4 linked regions of the Coturnix japonica genome follow. The protein of the gene in region 4 purifies or fractionates together with the protein of the main gene of each other region. This does not show direct contact. Links are inferred from orthologs where the notes say so. Each region holds a gene or a part of one and is shown on either strand. Other genes may lie near its edges. The genes, in order: STX12, SCFD1, NAPG and NSF.

Region 1 (2,705 bases), on a different chromosome or scaffold from region 4:
TTAACATAAGAGCTTGCAATATTCCCACTGCTCATTATTTTTTCCATGCCACTAGCAACTAACAGAGCAGGGAATTGAGATGAACACTGTCACGAGTTACTCCTACCATCTCTGAAGGACCACCAGTGAACACTGAAGGAAAATATACCTAGTCTCCTTAAACTGGAGCAGGGAGATTTATCTTGGAATCAATCCTCTCTACAAGGAACTGTTCCTTCACCTTCAGGTCTCCTCAGCCCATCCCATTAGATAGCACTGCATGAATTCTTTGGTTTCTACCCTAATATTGTTAACTATATGTTAACATAAGCGCAGGATCTACTCTTCACCTCTAATTGCCTGATTGCCGTTTCTCTTTCTTTAATAAGTTCAAGATCCTGTTCAGTTATCGCCACATCTTCTTCTTGAGACTGCATTTGGTTCCAGTCTTCACCACTGTGAAGGGAAGGAAGGATAGTAAAACACTGTTTCTTTCAGCACAGGCATATTTTCTCACTATAATTACACTGAATCACCAGCATGTTAAAGCTGAAAAGATTCCTACAGAACACCAGTCTTGCAACTACAGGCTTATGGCAACAATTACAAATGAGAACAATAATGGGGACAGACCAAGAGAAGTGAGGAAACTGAAAAGCAGTACATGCATAGGATAGTTTGTGCTAGGATGTGACCATTACCTATAGCATTATAGAACAGACCTCATTTCAGGTTGGTTTTTTTTTTTTTTAAGTTTGTTTTTTAAGAATATCTGTACCTTCCTTTCCTCTCACCATCCCCCACAAAAAGGGGGGAATCAACCAGGGTGAAAGTCTTGATGGAGAGCAGCCTGCAAGCACAACATTATCAGATCAAAAGAACACCTGACAAGCATCCTGGCTCTAAGATTCTCACTTGCTATCTGCCATTTGGGGATACGAAGAAAGGGTTTAGTATGTTAATTCATTAATTTAGCAAGAACTACAAATTAAAGTCACACATCAAGAGAGATGTTTAGAAAAATCTCTGCACACCTACCCTGATGACAGTACTTCATAACTGCCACGTAAGTTACACACACTGATTACAGTGAAGGCAGTACCAATAGTACAAAGTCATCTATGTGTCCAGCACAAAAGAGTTCTTCTAGGGTAATATCTCCCTCTTCTTCTCGGAGGCAAACGTATCTGAAAGCACTGTAATATACCCAACAGGCACGTTGTGACATAACTCTACGTAGTAAGTTCCAAAGGCTCCAAGTGCAAAAAGAAATGACAATAAACTACTTGACTAGATGGGATACAGCAGAGACATTCAGGAATTCAGCTGAGTTGACAGGAGAATCTTCAGGTGTTTAGGGCACAAGTTTCTGATGTGCAGCACATAAGAACAATTTTAAATGCAAAGTAGTTGCTGCACGATACTGCATCTCACTGAGATGAGGGCCTCTGCATGAACAGGTATTTATGTGGCACCCCATGCAATAGTGAGCAAGACTTCAAACTCATCACAGCATCTTTATGACTGAACAAAATAGGGCTTTCACTTCTGACTCAGCACGTGGAACCTCAGGACTAACAAAGGGGGACACACACCAAACAACTGATCAGGAGAGGATGGATGAGACATTTCAGATAGGTGCCTCGAGTTAGAACATTGCAAGGTTTATACAGATAAGGCCTACATACTTCATCCTCTATTTCTCAGGCATGCATAGTGGAAACTGACACAGTAATCACAAATGCTTCTGCAGTGTCTTGAGTTCACTTGACTCACACTGTAGAGCTGATGCAACATTCTGCAAACTCATCTGCTATGCAGGCACAAAGTTACCGCAGAATCTATATATATGTCTGATATTTTATATCGATGTAGACTACGCATGTTCTGGTATCAATTTGTTATTTCTTCCAAGTTTAGAGCAGCCTCATCCACTGCTTTACAATGGCTCCATCTGGGCTCATAGATAACACCCAAACTCATAAAAGAAGTAAAGAGTTTTTCTTGTGGAAAGAGTTATGTGACAGAAAATACGTCTGGTAATCTTGTGCTCACAGTCCAGAACACCAGGAGGGCCAATTATCATATAACAGAGACTGAACTATTCCCAGTGGGACAGCCTACATTTCAACAGGGTCAAATACTGTCATGCATTTCTTTTCCTAAATGCTGTGTATTAGCACTGTAATAGCTGCATAGCATCCTTCTGTTTTTCATTCAGCTATAAAAGAGTTGTCCAAGATACAATATATCTATAACAATTTTAATTACACATAGGTTAAGAGTGTGCCCCGAGAATGCAAGAATGCAATTCTTTACCTATCAAATGAAACAAGCTGTTCTTCTCTGAACCGCTCATCAGCCTGGAATAGATAAATGAGGTGTTAATATTTCAGATCAGCAGAACTACCAACAAGCAAAATCAACAGGAATATACTGAAGAAAAAGGCATTTGCTGTCCAGAGACAGCATTGTCTCTTCAACTTTCAGATTTAACCTAAGGGAATTTAGACCAGATTTAGATTCATCTTCAGACTTAAATTCAGACTGTCTCAGCAAATCAGAGGCAGCTGAAAGGCAAAGACAAGAGTCTATTTACTCAGATCACTGATGTATCATCAGCATATCAAGATGTGTGCCTACTAATTACAACATCTGGAACAGCAAAACAACCTACTGAGGCCTCATTTGTGATCAGTAATGCATCAGTAGACAACCATGAAGCC
Region 2 (4,012 bases), on a different chromosome or scaffold from region 4:
TAATAATCATAATATTGCTTGTTTAAAAAAATAAAAAAAAAATTTAAAAAAAAAACAAATGAGTTTTGTACTTGCATAAACTGTTTAAAAGTTATTGTTGTTAGAATGTTATGCAATTAATTAGAGCTGTGTAAAAACTTAAAACTCCAATGCAGTCAACTGCAGAATCAGTGCCTGAAGTGCTGCAGCTTCAAGCAATGTTGTATGTGACAGATGTAGCATCAGTGTTGAAATACTCAATTGTGGGAGACAAATGTCGTGTAAATGTTTGAAAGTGCAATAAAGAGTTAATACAACGTGGTAATTTAAATGTGAATCTTTGCTGCTTTTCTTTTGTTTGGTGGGTTTTAGTTCTAGAAGTGTTGTTGCTATTTCCTTCTAGTTGCGCTAGCTTTTGCTCCGTATGCTGAGTAGGTTGCTCCCAAAGTAATGCCTCCTGTTGATTTCTGTGGGGGCTACAGCAGATAAAAAGAGTACAATTAATGCTGTTTGGTAGAGCAAATTGTCTGCTACGAAGCACTATTTTTTGACATAATCACCACCATTAGCTGTGCATTTTTGCTAGTGGTGAAGAGGGGCTGCAGTTCTTTCTGCAGGGAGAAATTCAGTGATGCACCTTTGACTCCTGTGCCCTTCCACGTCAGAGGCCGTTTTGTCAGACCTGCTGCCATCTGCTGCACAGCAACAAAATGGAATGGAATATTGGTGGGAAAGTTCAGCTGCTGCCAACTCAGCATCCACCTCTGACATCATAGGCCAACATAATAAAATGGGAGGTGTTACTTTTGGAGCAGCCCTCGTAGATGGTGCACATTTACCCTCAAATCTCTGTCAGTTTCAGCTGCACGGGGCTATTCCTCCTCAGTGCTTTCTCTAAACACAGAACAGCTGAGAGCATAGTAACTACTAAAGACTGCAAAGAGCAGAGATGCACAAACGTAGTCAGTGCTGATGAATTTATCTTCGCCAGCTGCCGTCCCCAGGTGGAGACCTAATTGCCTCACAGCTGCCCGGTTGCAGTTTGTGCACGCAACGTGCGGGTTAGACAAAAACAGGTGCAGCCTCTTCTTGCCTAAAAACTTCGGTTTAAGGCCGAAAGCGACGTGGAAATCGCAGCCCCCCAGGAGCTGGCGGCCGCAAGGCGCTCGGACCCATCTGGCGCCGCCCAGTAACGGCTCCGCCCCGCCGCTGAGCCGGGCCGCCACGTCGGCGGTGTGTGCGTGCGCGGCAGGGGGCGGGGAGCTGCGCCGGGCTGGCGGCGAGGCAAAATGGCGGCCGGTATCAGGGAGAAGCAGATAGGTAAGCGGTTCCTATGGTTTCTATTGCGCTGTGAGGCCGCTGTTCTGCCTGCAGTGGGAAAAGAGCGCGGTGGATCTCAGGGTGTATCTGGGGGCTCTTCTGGGAGCCTGCTTTCCTCCCCTCCTTTTCTCTGACGGCTCCTTCGGGCGAGATGAAACCCGGGCCGCCTCGGTCCACCTGGGGATCCTCGGCCGGTTTGTGTCGCTCGGCGGCGGCTTTCTCCTACTCCCAGCCCCTCTCGCCGCGGTGTTCCTCAGCGGTGGGTACGGTGTCGGGACCGGGGCTCTCCTGCCGAGGGGCCTGGCCTGCCGGGCCCGGGGAACACAGGTGCCCAGGGACGCGGCCGCAGGTGCCGCCGCGATGTGGAAATCAGCCCCGGGGTGGGGCTGCGCGGCCGGGAGGGGAGCGGTGTCCGTCTTCGTGGGACTGGGCTGTGCTTTCCTTTTGTTCGGCTTCCTCTGTGCTGTGGGAAGGGTCAGCCAGAAACGTCGTTTAAAGGTGAAAATGTAAAACAACTGCTTTGTTGCCCCTGTTTAGACGCTACTGAGGTCCTGGAGTTGGGGGTTGGACTCGATGGTCTCTAGAGGTCCCTTCCAACCCCTTACAATTCTGTGATTCTGTGGAGTGTTTACTGACCTTTAGGAAATTACGATTGTGATATTACCAACTCAGGCTCCCTGGGGGAGGTATTCTGTGGGTAAAAGGGTTGTTTACTCAGTCCCTCCTTATGCCCTGCTGAGTTTGTAATTGATTCCTTCATTTCCCTCTTGCTGCTGCTCTGTACAGGGGCGCTGAGCCATCCATGTGAACATACCCCTAAAGCACAGAGTGTGTCAGCTCTGTATTCCTGCTCACTTCACTGAGTTTTTGTCTATAGTTTTAATTGCAGTCTTGTCATCTTCTCGTGACAGCTTCTTAGAGGATTCTGGGTGCGTTCATTTAACACAGGATACCTATGGTCATCTGCTTAAAAGTCTCATCCCGAGTCTCTTTTTTTGAACTTAATGTTTTACCAGCTTTTCTGTACCATAATTATATGTTCTCTGATCACATTCCACTGCCCATCTACCACTGATGGAACTGATTCATGTTCCTTTACAGTACTTTTTCTCACACTTACACCTTTCTGATAAAGCCCCTTGTTATTGAGCCTTTATTCCCTGTGACTTTATTCGTTTCTCTTTCACTGTTCTCATCCTCTTTCAGTCAGCGTTTATACCCATGTTGTCTCCTGTTGGGGCAGTCACTAGCAAGGAGGTAGCTGGAAACAAGAGGTATTCAGCAGGGTGAACACTGCTCTGTGTGTGTGTCTGTTGTGCTGTGGCCCTGCTCCATAATCAGAGTGTATTGCTGTGCCCCACTGTGAAAACCCTGCCCTTGCCCCATAGAGTTTTTGGCATAAAGTGGAAGAGCAAGAACAGAAAAGATAAGCAGCCAGTACATCTCTAGGTTTTGTGATGGTCGCAGCATGTTGGTAGTCTGATTACAATGTCTTGCACCTGGGGCTGGCAGCCCCTGCTATCAGTACAGTGTGGACAACAAAAGGATTGAGCATAGCCCTAACAGAATGATCTTGAGGGTGTCTAGCAATGTGCTTTTGCAGTTGAGTGCATCTCGACTGTATTAAAAGAAGTAATAGTTAGCAGGTTAAGGGAGGTGATCCTGCTCCTCCACTCTGCATTGGTGAGACCTCACCTGGTGTACTGTGTCTTGAGGTGGAGTCAATACAGGAGAGACATGGTTCTGTTGGAGAGCATCCAGAGGAGGGTCATGAAGGTGGTCCAAGGGATGGAAACCTCTCCTGTGAGGCTGGCTGAGAGCTGAGGCTGTTCAGCCTGGAGAAGAGAAGGCTCTGGGGAACCTGATAGCAGCCTTTCAGTACATGAAAGGAGCTATAAGAAGGAATGGGACAGCCTCTTTAGCAGGCTCTGTTCTGATGTGACAAGGGGAAAGGGTTTCAGAATAAAAGAGGGGAGATTTAAATATTTCTTTTCTTCATTGTAGGGGGTTTGGACTAGATGGGTCCTTTCCAATTCAAATTATTCTATTATCTGCTTCTGTTTATGAGTAAAGTGGATTACGTAGCCCTGATTTCTGAAAGTTTTTCTCTTTGCAAAATCCTATGACAGTTTTGTTTATGGATTTGGAGAGAATTGCTGCCAGCTTATACCGATGCAATTTATTTTTTCACTTTTTGCCACAGTGCATGGTGTATTTAATCAGGTGCATGGTGTTTAATCGGATGAATGAGGAAGGGCTCCTTAGGAGCCCTTAGAAAGTGGAGGTAGGTGAAAAATAGGCCTTGTTTTGTGTATTGAATGTGAAGTTAAATGGATACACATGGACAGAATTTTCCTGTTGCAAATTAGGGGTGCTTTCATGCTCCCTTATGCAGCAGTTTCTTATAAGTGCTGAAAATGTTGTAAAAAATATGTGTCAGCTTTAGTCAGTCAGAGAGGTATTGCTGTGTGGTATCCTGTGTGTGTGGTGTTGTTCTGATCAGGTAGGATGAAGCACAATTACAGTAAAGCAGACTAACTTGTAGGATACAAAACAGACTCTTCAGGAAGAGTCTGAAAAGAGTTTTAAGGCAAAATTTAGTAGAATATAGCCCATGTAATCAAAGAAAGAGATTCTTCATGTTTTAGGACTCACATGTTTAATGTCTGTTGTTGAAGTGTAAAGAGACTAAAGCAATATTCTACCCTTTTTT
Region 3 (4,255 bases), on a different chromosome or scaffold from region 4:
GGTTGTAAAAATGTACATTTATTTAAAAAATGCTCCCTGGTTACCAAATGTTACCACAAGCACTGTATTGTTAGCCACATTTAGTTAATACTATCCATTCATAGATACTTAAAAGTGCTTATATAAATTTATAATGCAGTACATAAGCATTTCAGGCACCTCTACTCTACACTGGTGAGACCTCATCTGGAGTACTGCATCCAGGTGTGGAGTGCTCAGTACAGGAGACACACCGACCTGTTGGAGAGCACACAGAGGGCCACAAATATGACCCAGAGAATGGAACACCTCTCCTATGAGGACAGGCTGAGAGATCTGGGGCTGTTCAGCCTGGAGAAAAAGAGGCTCCAAGGAGATCTGACAGCAACTTTTCAGTATCTACAGAGGGACTTTAAGAACAAAGAAGACAAAAACTCTAGCAGAGTCTGTTGAAAATGGACAAGGTGAAGTGGTTTTAAACTGAAAAAGGGGAGATTTAGATCGGATGTAAGGGAGAAGTTTTTCACAGTAAGGATAATAAGGCATTGAAACAGGTTGTTCAGAGAGATGGTGGATGTCCCATGCCTGGAGACACTCAAGAACAAACTGGAGGATGCTGTGAACAACCTGATGTGTCCCTACTCATTTCAAGGGAGTTGGACTAGGTGACCTTTAAGGGTCCTGCCAACTCAAACAGTTCTGTGCTTGTATATCACTCAGAACAGATTTTCTAATCAAGAGGTCTTCAGCTTTCCTATTCACAGCACACAGTCCTTTGAAAGAGAACCTTCTTAGACCGACAACATGAGCAAAGATATTAATTTTTCAATCCACTACTCAATTCTAAATAGCAAGTAACTTCTTGGAAAATAAAAGTAATGAAAAGATACGCTTTGTTGTTTTCATGTGCTTCAGCTTCTCGTAAACAGGCTTCCCTTGCCTGGTCAAACTGCTTGGCATTCTTAAAGGCAACAGCTGCAAGAAACCAAAGATGAAGTTCTCATTTACAGCTTGCCTTTTCTTTTTTTAATCACATCTGCTAAAGTATTCAATCATCCAAACACGCAAGCAGGCACTTTAGACAAACTGAATGGCTTGCTAAATTGTAGCCAGAAAATCCCACCACAGGGTTGAATTAGCCACCCAATTGGTCCCCAGTGATAGGACAAGAGGCAACTGGCACAAACTGGAACATAGGAAATCCCATCAAAACATGAGATTGGAAAAATTCTGTACTTTGATGGTGACAGAGCATTGGAACAGGAGGGCCAGAGAGGTCACAGAGTCCTCTTTTCTGGAGACATTCAAGACTCATCTGTACACTTTCCAGTGTACATGGGTATAAATTACTATTAACAAGAAGAAAAAAATCAGAGTTCCATATTCAGTATGACACCTGTTAACAGGAAAGGAGGAAAGAAATCTTACCGTGTCCAGAGGAAAAAGAAATTACACCACAAACTAAAAATGCCTCTACCTTATTAAAACTCTCTTAGGTCAGGCAATCCAAATGATGGTGAAAAAGTTTTAAGAACAAATAGAATTTTTGTTATTTGGGAATATCATGTGATTTGGGGGTTGGCAAGTGAAAAGAGGAAAGCTTTAATGTTATGATATGTATTAAGATTCAACATATTAGCAGTAAACTTGAAAAGAATAAATTTTTTGCAATTAGTATTGACTTCCAAGTACAACTTGAGATTTTACAGTGCTAAGAACATTTATCTTCCTCATTACTATAGTCTTCGCAACAGTTGTACTTATACAGGAATATACTAAAACTAAGTAAAATATTATTGGAAATGAAGCTTAAAAACTATAAAACCATAAAGCACGCGCCCATATTTACAGTCACACATACCTGCCTTCCCGTATTCAGTAGCTGCACTATCATAATCTGGTTTCCATTTTAAGAATCCAGTTTTCAAGCTAAAATGTAAGAAGAAAGGACTATTAACAGCGAGTAACGCCTTTGTGTTTCACCTCTGAAGTACTTCATTTAGATTTAAAACATCAGACAGCCTGATATGTCTGTAGCAGCTTATGGTACTTACTGATCCCACACATACACAAATACAGGGCCCTGAGCAGCTAAGCTGGTGGGTGGCAGCCCTGCCCAAGGAACAGGGTGGGATATGAGGTTCTTTCCAACATAAGTCATTCTGTGGTTCCATGAATTATGTGAGTCATCAATGCTGACCTCAGTATTATACTTATATCCTTAAAAAAAGGCATGCATACAAAACTACAGCTCTAGAGGCCGCTGACACAGACACTCCAGATGTATTACATGCTTAGTAACGAAATGAGTTAAAATGAATTCCACCAAAAGGCGTAGTGCTCAGGTAACGTAAAGAAGCCACCTGGCACACACTGCTGTTCTGAAGCATCCTCTGAAGCTGCCTGCCAACTGCCATACGTAGACATTAGGCCCACTAAGCAAAGTGCCCGTACTACTGAGGCCACCCGTAAACAAACAGACCCCCAAAGCCCCGCCTCAGACAGGCCATATCCCCCGCTGCCCTCCCTTTCCAGCCCAGGTCACGTCGCCGGCAGCTGCTGAGCCCACGGGAGGATCACGGGCAGCCTACATCTCCCACAGCACTCCGCCTCACCAGCCCAGCGGGCAGGAGAGGAGCCCCGAACGCTGAAGCGCCCACGGCCTCGCCCGCTTCTTGTTGCCGACATGCCCAGCCCAATCCCCGCTCACTATTTCTCCGCTTTCGCGATGTGCTCCAGGGCCTCGTTAATCTTCTGAGCCGCCATCGTGACTGCAGCTACGGAACGCCGCAGGGCTCACGGCGCGTCCGGGGGCGGGGATGAGAGCTGCGCCTTCTCACTGCGCCTGCGCCATCTTGGGGGGCGGGATCTGCTGCTGACGGCAGCTGTTGGTAACGTGACTGCCTCAGGGTGACGCTGTGTGGTGCTCCTCCATGAGCAACCTGTGCCCCTCTTTCTGAGAAGAAATCACAGAATTATCAAGGTTGGAAAAGAACTAGAAGATCATCTAGTCCAACCGTTACCAGTACTTCCTAGCTAAATCATATTTATCAACACAACATCCTGACGTTTCTTGAACACTCCCATGGTCGGTGACTCCACCACCTCCCTGGGCAGTGCATTCCAATGCCTGAGTACCCTTTCCGAGAAGTAATACTTCCTAATGTTCAGCCTGAATCTCCCCTGGCGCAGCTTAAAACCATTCCCTCTAGTTCTGTCATCGATTACACGAGAGAAGAGGTCAACCACAAGCTCACTACAACCTCCCTTCAGGATGTTATAGAGAAAATGTTTCCTGATGGCCAACCTGAACCTCCCCTGCCATGACAAGGCCTTTATCTCTCATCCAAAGCAGGAGAAATGATTGGTGTTCTGGCCTCTGTGGGCTACAGTGATCCACAAGTTATACACTCGGTAACTGCACTGAAAATGCTGAGGTCTGCATTGCTGCCCGTATTTTGATTTTCTGCTACTTCTTGTTTTCATAATCTGAAATGTCAGAAAGCTGATATGGAATCAGAATGGCTTGGGTTGGAAGGGACCTCAAAGCATACCCAGCCCCAACCCATTATAGGCAGGGCTGCTACCCACCAGCTCAGCTGCCCAGGGCCCCATCCAGCCTGGCCTTGAGTACCTCCAGGGTTGGGGCACCCAAAAAATGCTATGTACATGTCAGTTACACCGTTCTGAATTGCTTTCCTATCCTTTACCATTTCCAGCATTCCCCTGATGATATGGACGTTTTTTTCTTCTAACTTTAGTTCTTGCACTACCCTGGAGATGCTATCTATAGCAGATGGTGGAAAATCCCCATTGTGTTATGTATTATTCTGTATTCTGTAACAAAGTAGGAAAGAAGGTAGCATTTGTAGCAGGTGAATAAAAAGAAATCATAAAGCTAATGCATTAACAGGCAGAATAATCTCAGAGAGCGCTTCTGAAGCACCCAGTGAGTAACCTGTTCTCCTGTTTGTTTGTGGTAGTGTTCCTGGCCAGCTGTGTTCCCTGGGTTATAAAGAGCTGCTGACTTTTTTGTGAGGCTACACACGTGCACTGTCTGGTTACACTTTATGCTGGAATGACCAGACAACACATTTCCAGGACTAGTATTAAATGAAATAGGATATTCCTGGGTAGCTTTTATTTTGTAGACACAGAACCTCCAGAGATTTTACATCTGGGAAGGATCATATCACAGCATCTGGTACTTGCCTGTGAACTGGAATTTGGTATTTAAAAATACCCAGGCACGGTGTGACAAATTTTTACAGGGATA
Region 4 (3,567 bases):
CAGACCCCCATCCCAACCCACCTAGAAGTCTCTCAATGTCATCCACAACAACGCAGCTAAGTTGGGACTTGTATGCATCATCAAAGATCTGAAAAACAGCAAAAGGAGTCACTGCTAAATCTCAGCAGCAAAAACACAATAGTTGTGATAGGAACTGTTGATCTGTTTTTAACTAAGCACAGCAGTATTTAGATGAATAAACAGAGAATGAAAAAGTTATGAACTATGCAAATCTTGCAATGAACTGCTCCTCTGTTCTTAGAGTAACATCCCTCATTTACATGACTAATCCAGTATAATTCAGCTAGAAGAAAAATAAGTGCTGGCTTGCTTCTGTAAATTAGATCTCCTTCCTTCCACCTGGCTACTTGAAATGATTTAAGGAGTTCAACTTGTCTGCATTTGCCCTGTGCCCCAAGTCGTTAAAACCCTTGTTTAGACAAACCCTACCAACTCAAAACTGTTCATTCAGGCAGGATCTGTTCCTTCCATGTGCAGCCCTGAGCCCTTCCTGCTTTCATCCTGGAAGACTGAGCTCCAGACTTGCTCATCAATGATCTGGAGTTTTGTGTCACTGTTAGTGATGATTACACATCAGAACCAGCTGGGCCAGAATCATGATATTTTCCCTTCCAGATGAGTCTCAAACTTTATTCAAATAAACCACATGGAATTTCCACAGCTGGGGCAAAGCAAAAGAAGTTTTTTTTGAAGATGAGTGAAATGCCTGTGAGTTGTAAGCTTAGACCTGCTACCTTCAGCAAGATCCTTGCCTTCTTTTGGGTCTACCCGATCAAGCACCCTGAAAATATAACTACAACTGACCAAAATAAACAAATATATGCAAATTTAGATTTCCTGAAGCTCGAAGAATTTGTGTCATTACTGATTTCGCCACAGAGTTTCACATCACTGGTGAAAATGTGTAGTTAAAGATTGTAACTATGTTGAAAAATAGAATTTTGTAGCTGAGAATGTGCTCTGTGAAACAGTGTTATTGTGCTCTTCGTGTATGTTGGAGTTTCCATGGAAATATATAGGAGGCACTACTTCTGGAGCAGTCCTTGTGTAAATGCTAAATCACTCAACTATCATAGGATGAGTCACTGAGCGTCAGCATGAAAAACATTCATTCAACTTCATAACATTCAGGAATTTAGGGCCTACAGAGAGCCCAGTCACAGGACAGTCCCTTCCTCATCCACTGTAGGGAGCAGTTGGATTGTCATCAAAAGAAAGGGTGCAGAAATACCTTCTTCATAGCCTGGCACTTGGCTGTTTCAGAAAATCCAATCATCTTATCAGGAGAACAGATCTTGATGAAAGGGAAGTTGGACTCCTCAGCTATCTTTGCTGCTAAAGCAGTCTTCCCACTGTGTGGGGGACCTGAAACAAAGAAATACGACTAGAAAAAAAACAAGGGAGAAAACGGGCCTGATAAGGCTCAGCATGAATGATGTATTAAAATGCTTGTAACTTCTTTCAAAGAATATCTGAGAAATGAAATGACCTTTTCTTCTACTTGCACAAAAAACAGTGCAATCCAATCGTCCAGATGAAGGAAATTAATGCAACTATTGGAGCACACAGAGCCTGATTTGCCATGAAAGTGGCAAAAAAGAAAATGACACATTTTGTAGGATGGGCCACTGCAGAAAGCACATCTTCCTCTTTTGCAGAACATTTCTGAATCATGTTTGTGCCTCTTAAAGATATGATGTCTGCAGGTACCGAACGAACAGCCTGAGTGCCCAGGAAATATGGACAAAGATGATTTATGATTTGCCTGAATTCACACCAGTATAATTTACAGACACCCAATCCAAATCAATCTGGAGTATGATAACAGATCACCACTTGGGCAACTGATAGGAACAGTATAAAGAAGGCTGTTCTTGTTTGTTTGTTTTTGCATGGATATTATTCTTAAGTTTACCTTCTAGAAGAACGCTAACCAGCGGAGTACGGTCACTGTTCTTGGTTTGTTGAACAAGCAGCTCCCCATCATCCAACACCCTTGTTACTGGATCACCCCACTTAATAATGCCATTCATGATATAACTCGCATAGTCTTCCTGGTTGGTTCCAAATGCCTGTTTTAACAGAGGGAACGTTTACTTCACAGACATCCTCAGTCAGTGAAAGTTGCTCATGGGTTTTGAATCTGCATCATATAAAGACTATTCTCAAAAATGGGGCTTAAACATTTTAATTACAAAAGGAATTTGCTTCCTTGCATCGTTAACTGTTCTGGGTGATTCTATTTCCCAATTACACAGCGCCTACTCACTGGTTTGATATCATTCTCCAAGGATGCAAAGAAGTCTCCTCTTGTCACACGTAAGCTTTCTGCCTTCTCCATATCTACTTCCACTTTGTTGCTGGCCTAAATAAGGTAAGAAAACAGAGTGAAGTACAACACAACTGTAAAAGATCCCCTTACCGACTTCAATGCAAGGATCCAGAGCTGCAGTTCAGCTGCAGCCTGAAAGGATCATCGAGTCCTAATCTAGACTTAGGTGAGACTAGAACTTATGTAGGTTCCCTTTAAAGTAAGGAGCTGCTCTCTCCCTTCAGAGTCTGCAGAAATTCTTCATTGCAGATTCTGGGTGCTGTATAAAAAGGGGATGAAACCATCATTTTGTGACTTATTTCAGAAAGTTTGGTTTAACCCAACACCACGTTTCCCCACTCCTTCTTTGGCAACTTCAAACAAAGCATTTTCCTCTCCACACACAGAACTCTTTAAGGCAACTGGTAAATATTAGATTTCTTTCTGCTTCATCTGCCTCAGTCCCAATGCAGTACCACCAGTATTAGAATAAACACACTACAGTTAGCTCACATTGCTCTCCTTTCTAAATTGAAGACAGCATCTTTTTCCTTCTGCTTCTCCCAAATTCAGATGTATTATTGACTGTGGCTGCACTCTACACTATGGAGCAGCTCCATTTTCCATGATTATTTCTAGATCTGCAAGAATATGGATTGCCTTAGGCAGCAATCAGGAATTACATGGATATGAAGCAACTTTCCCACTGAGTGTCACACAAACGCTCACTATTACAGGCTAATCCCATCTGTGCAGTCTGCTGACAATCCTGCATGGAGTTACAGATATCAGAAAGAGGATTAGTCACAAAAGGGGCAGAAGTTGATCTGTGCAAAGCAATCCATCTAACTGCAAGATGATACGGCAAAAATCCACTTTAAGTAACTTGGCAATGAGGTAAAAGATTTTCATTCTTTTACACCTTGGCTTTTGGAAATTTTCCAATTAGATCATGAAAAATTTATTTAGATTCCAAAACAAGCCTAATTTTCATTGAACCTCACCAGCACCTTACATCAGCATGTGGTTTTACCCAGGAGTACGAGGGCCCTACATCATCTGATTGTTCAGAAGGTTAAAAAATGGGATTTCAAGGCATTTCTTGGAAGGCACAGCAACATCCAACATTTTTCCCTACATGGACAAATCAAATAACACTCCCCCTGAAACATACATCTCAGAGACATCACCTTCTAACTACGATGATCTACAAGAGCTAAAATGATTCAGAAGAA

Evidence for each region.
Region 1: the proteins of NSF (region 4) and STX12 purify together in Homo sapiens (co-immunoprecipitation; 4 studies listed by BioGRID and IntAct, with this or other methods). This does not show direct contact. The link is inferred for Coturnix japonica from reciprocal best matches to the Homo sapiens genes NSF and STX12.
Region 2: the proteins of NSF (region 4) and SCFD1 purify together in Homo sapiens (affinity purification with mass spectrometry; 3 studies listed by BioGRID and IntAct, with this or other methods). This does not show direct contact. The link is inferred for Coturnix japonica from reciprocal best matches to the Homo sapiens genes NSF and SCFD1.
Region 3: the proteins of NSF (region 4) and NAPG purify together in Homo sapiens (affinity purification with mass spectrometry; 3 studies listed by BioGRID and IntAct, with this or other methods). This does not show direct contact. The link is inferred for Coturnix japonica from reciprocal best matches to the Homo sapiens genes NSF and NAPG.

The regions. Positions count from the first base shown.
Region 1 is NC_029538.1:1,335,472-1,338,176, reverse strand, and holds part of STX12 (syntaxin-12), read right to left. Parts: intron 2,343-2,705; coding exon 2,299-2,342; intron 830-2,298; coding exon 758-829; intron 436-757; coding exon 330-435; intron 1-329. UniProt on the Homo sapiens protein: SNARE promoting fusion of transport vesicles with target membranes. Together with SNARE STX6, promotes movement of vesicles from endosomes to the cell membrane, and may therefore function in the endocytic recycling pathway.
Region 2 is NC_029520.1:31,000,620-31,004,631, reverse strand, and holds the start of SCFD1 (sec1 family domain-containing protein 1), read left to right. Parts: upstream 1-1,171; 5' UTR 1,172-1,268; coding exon 1,269-1,299; intron 1,300-4,012. UniProt on the Homo sapiens protein: Plays a role in SNARE-pin assembly and Golgi-to-ER retrograde transport via its interaction with COG4. Involved in vesicular transport between the endoplasmic reticulum and the Golgi.
Region 3 is NC_029517.1:88,361,054-88,365,308, forward strand, and holds the start of NAPG (gamma-soluble NSF attachment protein), read right to left. Parts: upstream 2,836-4,255; 5' UTR 2,746-2,835; coding exon 2,690-2,745; intron 1,909-2,689; coding exon 1,841-1,908; intron 955-1,840; coding exon 870-954; intron 1-869. UniProt on the Homo sapiens protein: Required for vesicular transport between the endoplasmic reticulum and the Golgi apparatus.
Region 4 is NC_029542.1:649,249-652,815, forward strand, and holds part of NSF (vesicle-fusing ATPase), read right to left. Parts: intron 2,387-3,567; coding exon 2,291-2,386; intron 2,094-2,290; coding exon 1,937-2,093; intron 1,387-1,936; coding exon 1,253-1,386; intron 89-1,252; coding exon 22-88; intron 1-21.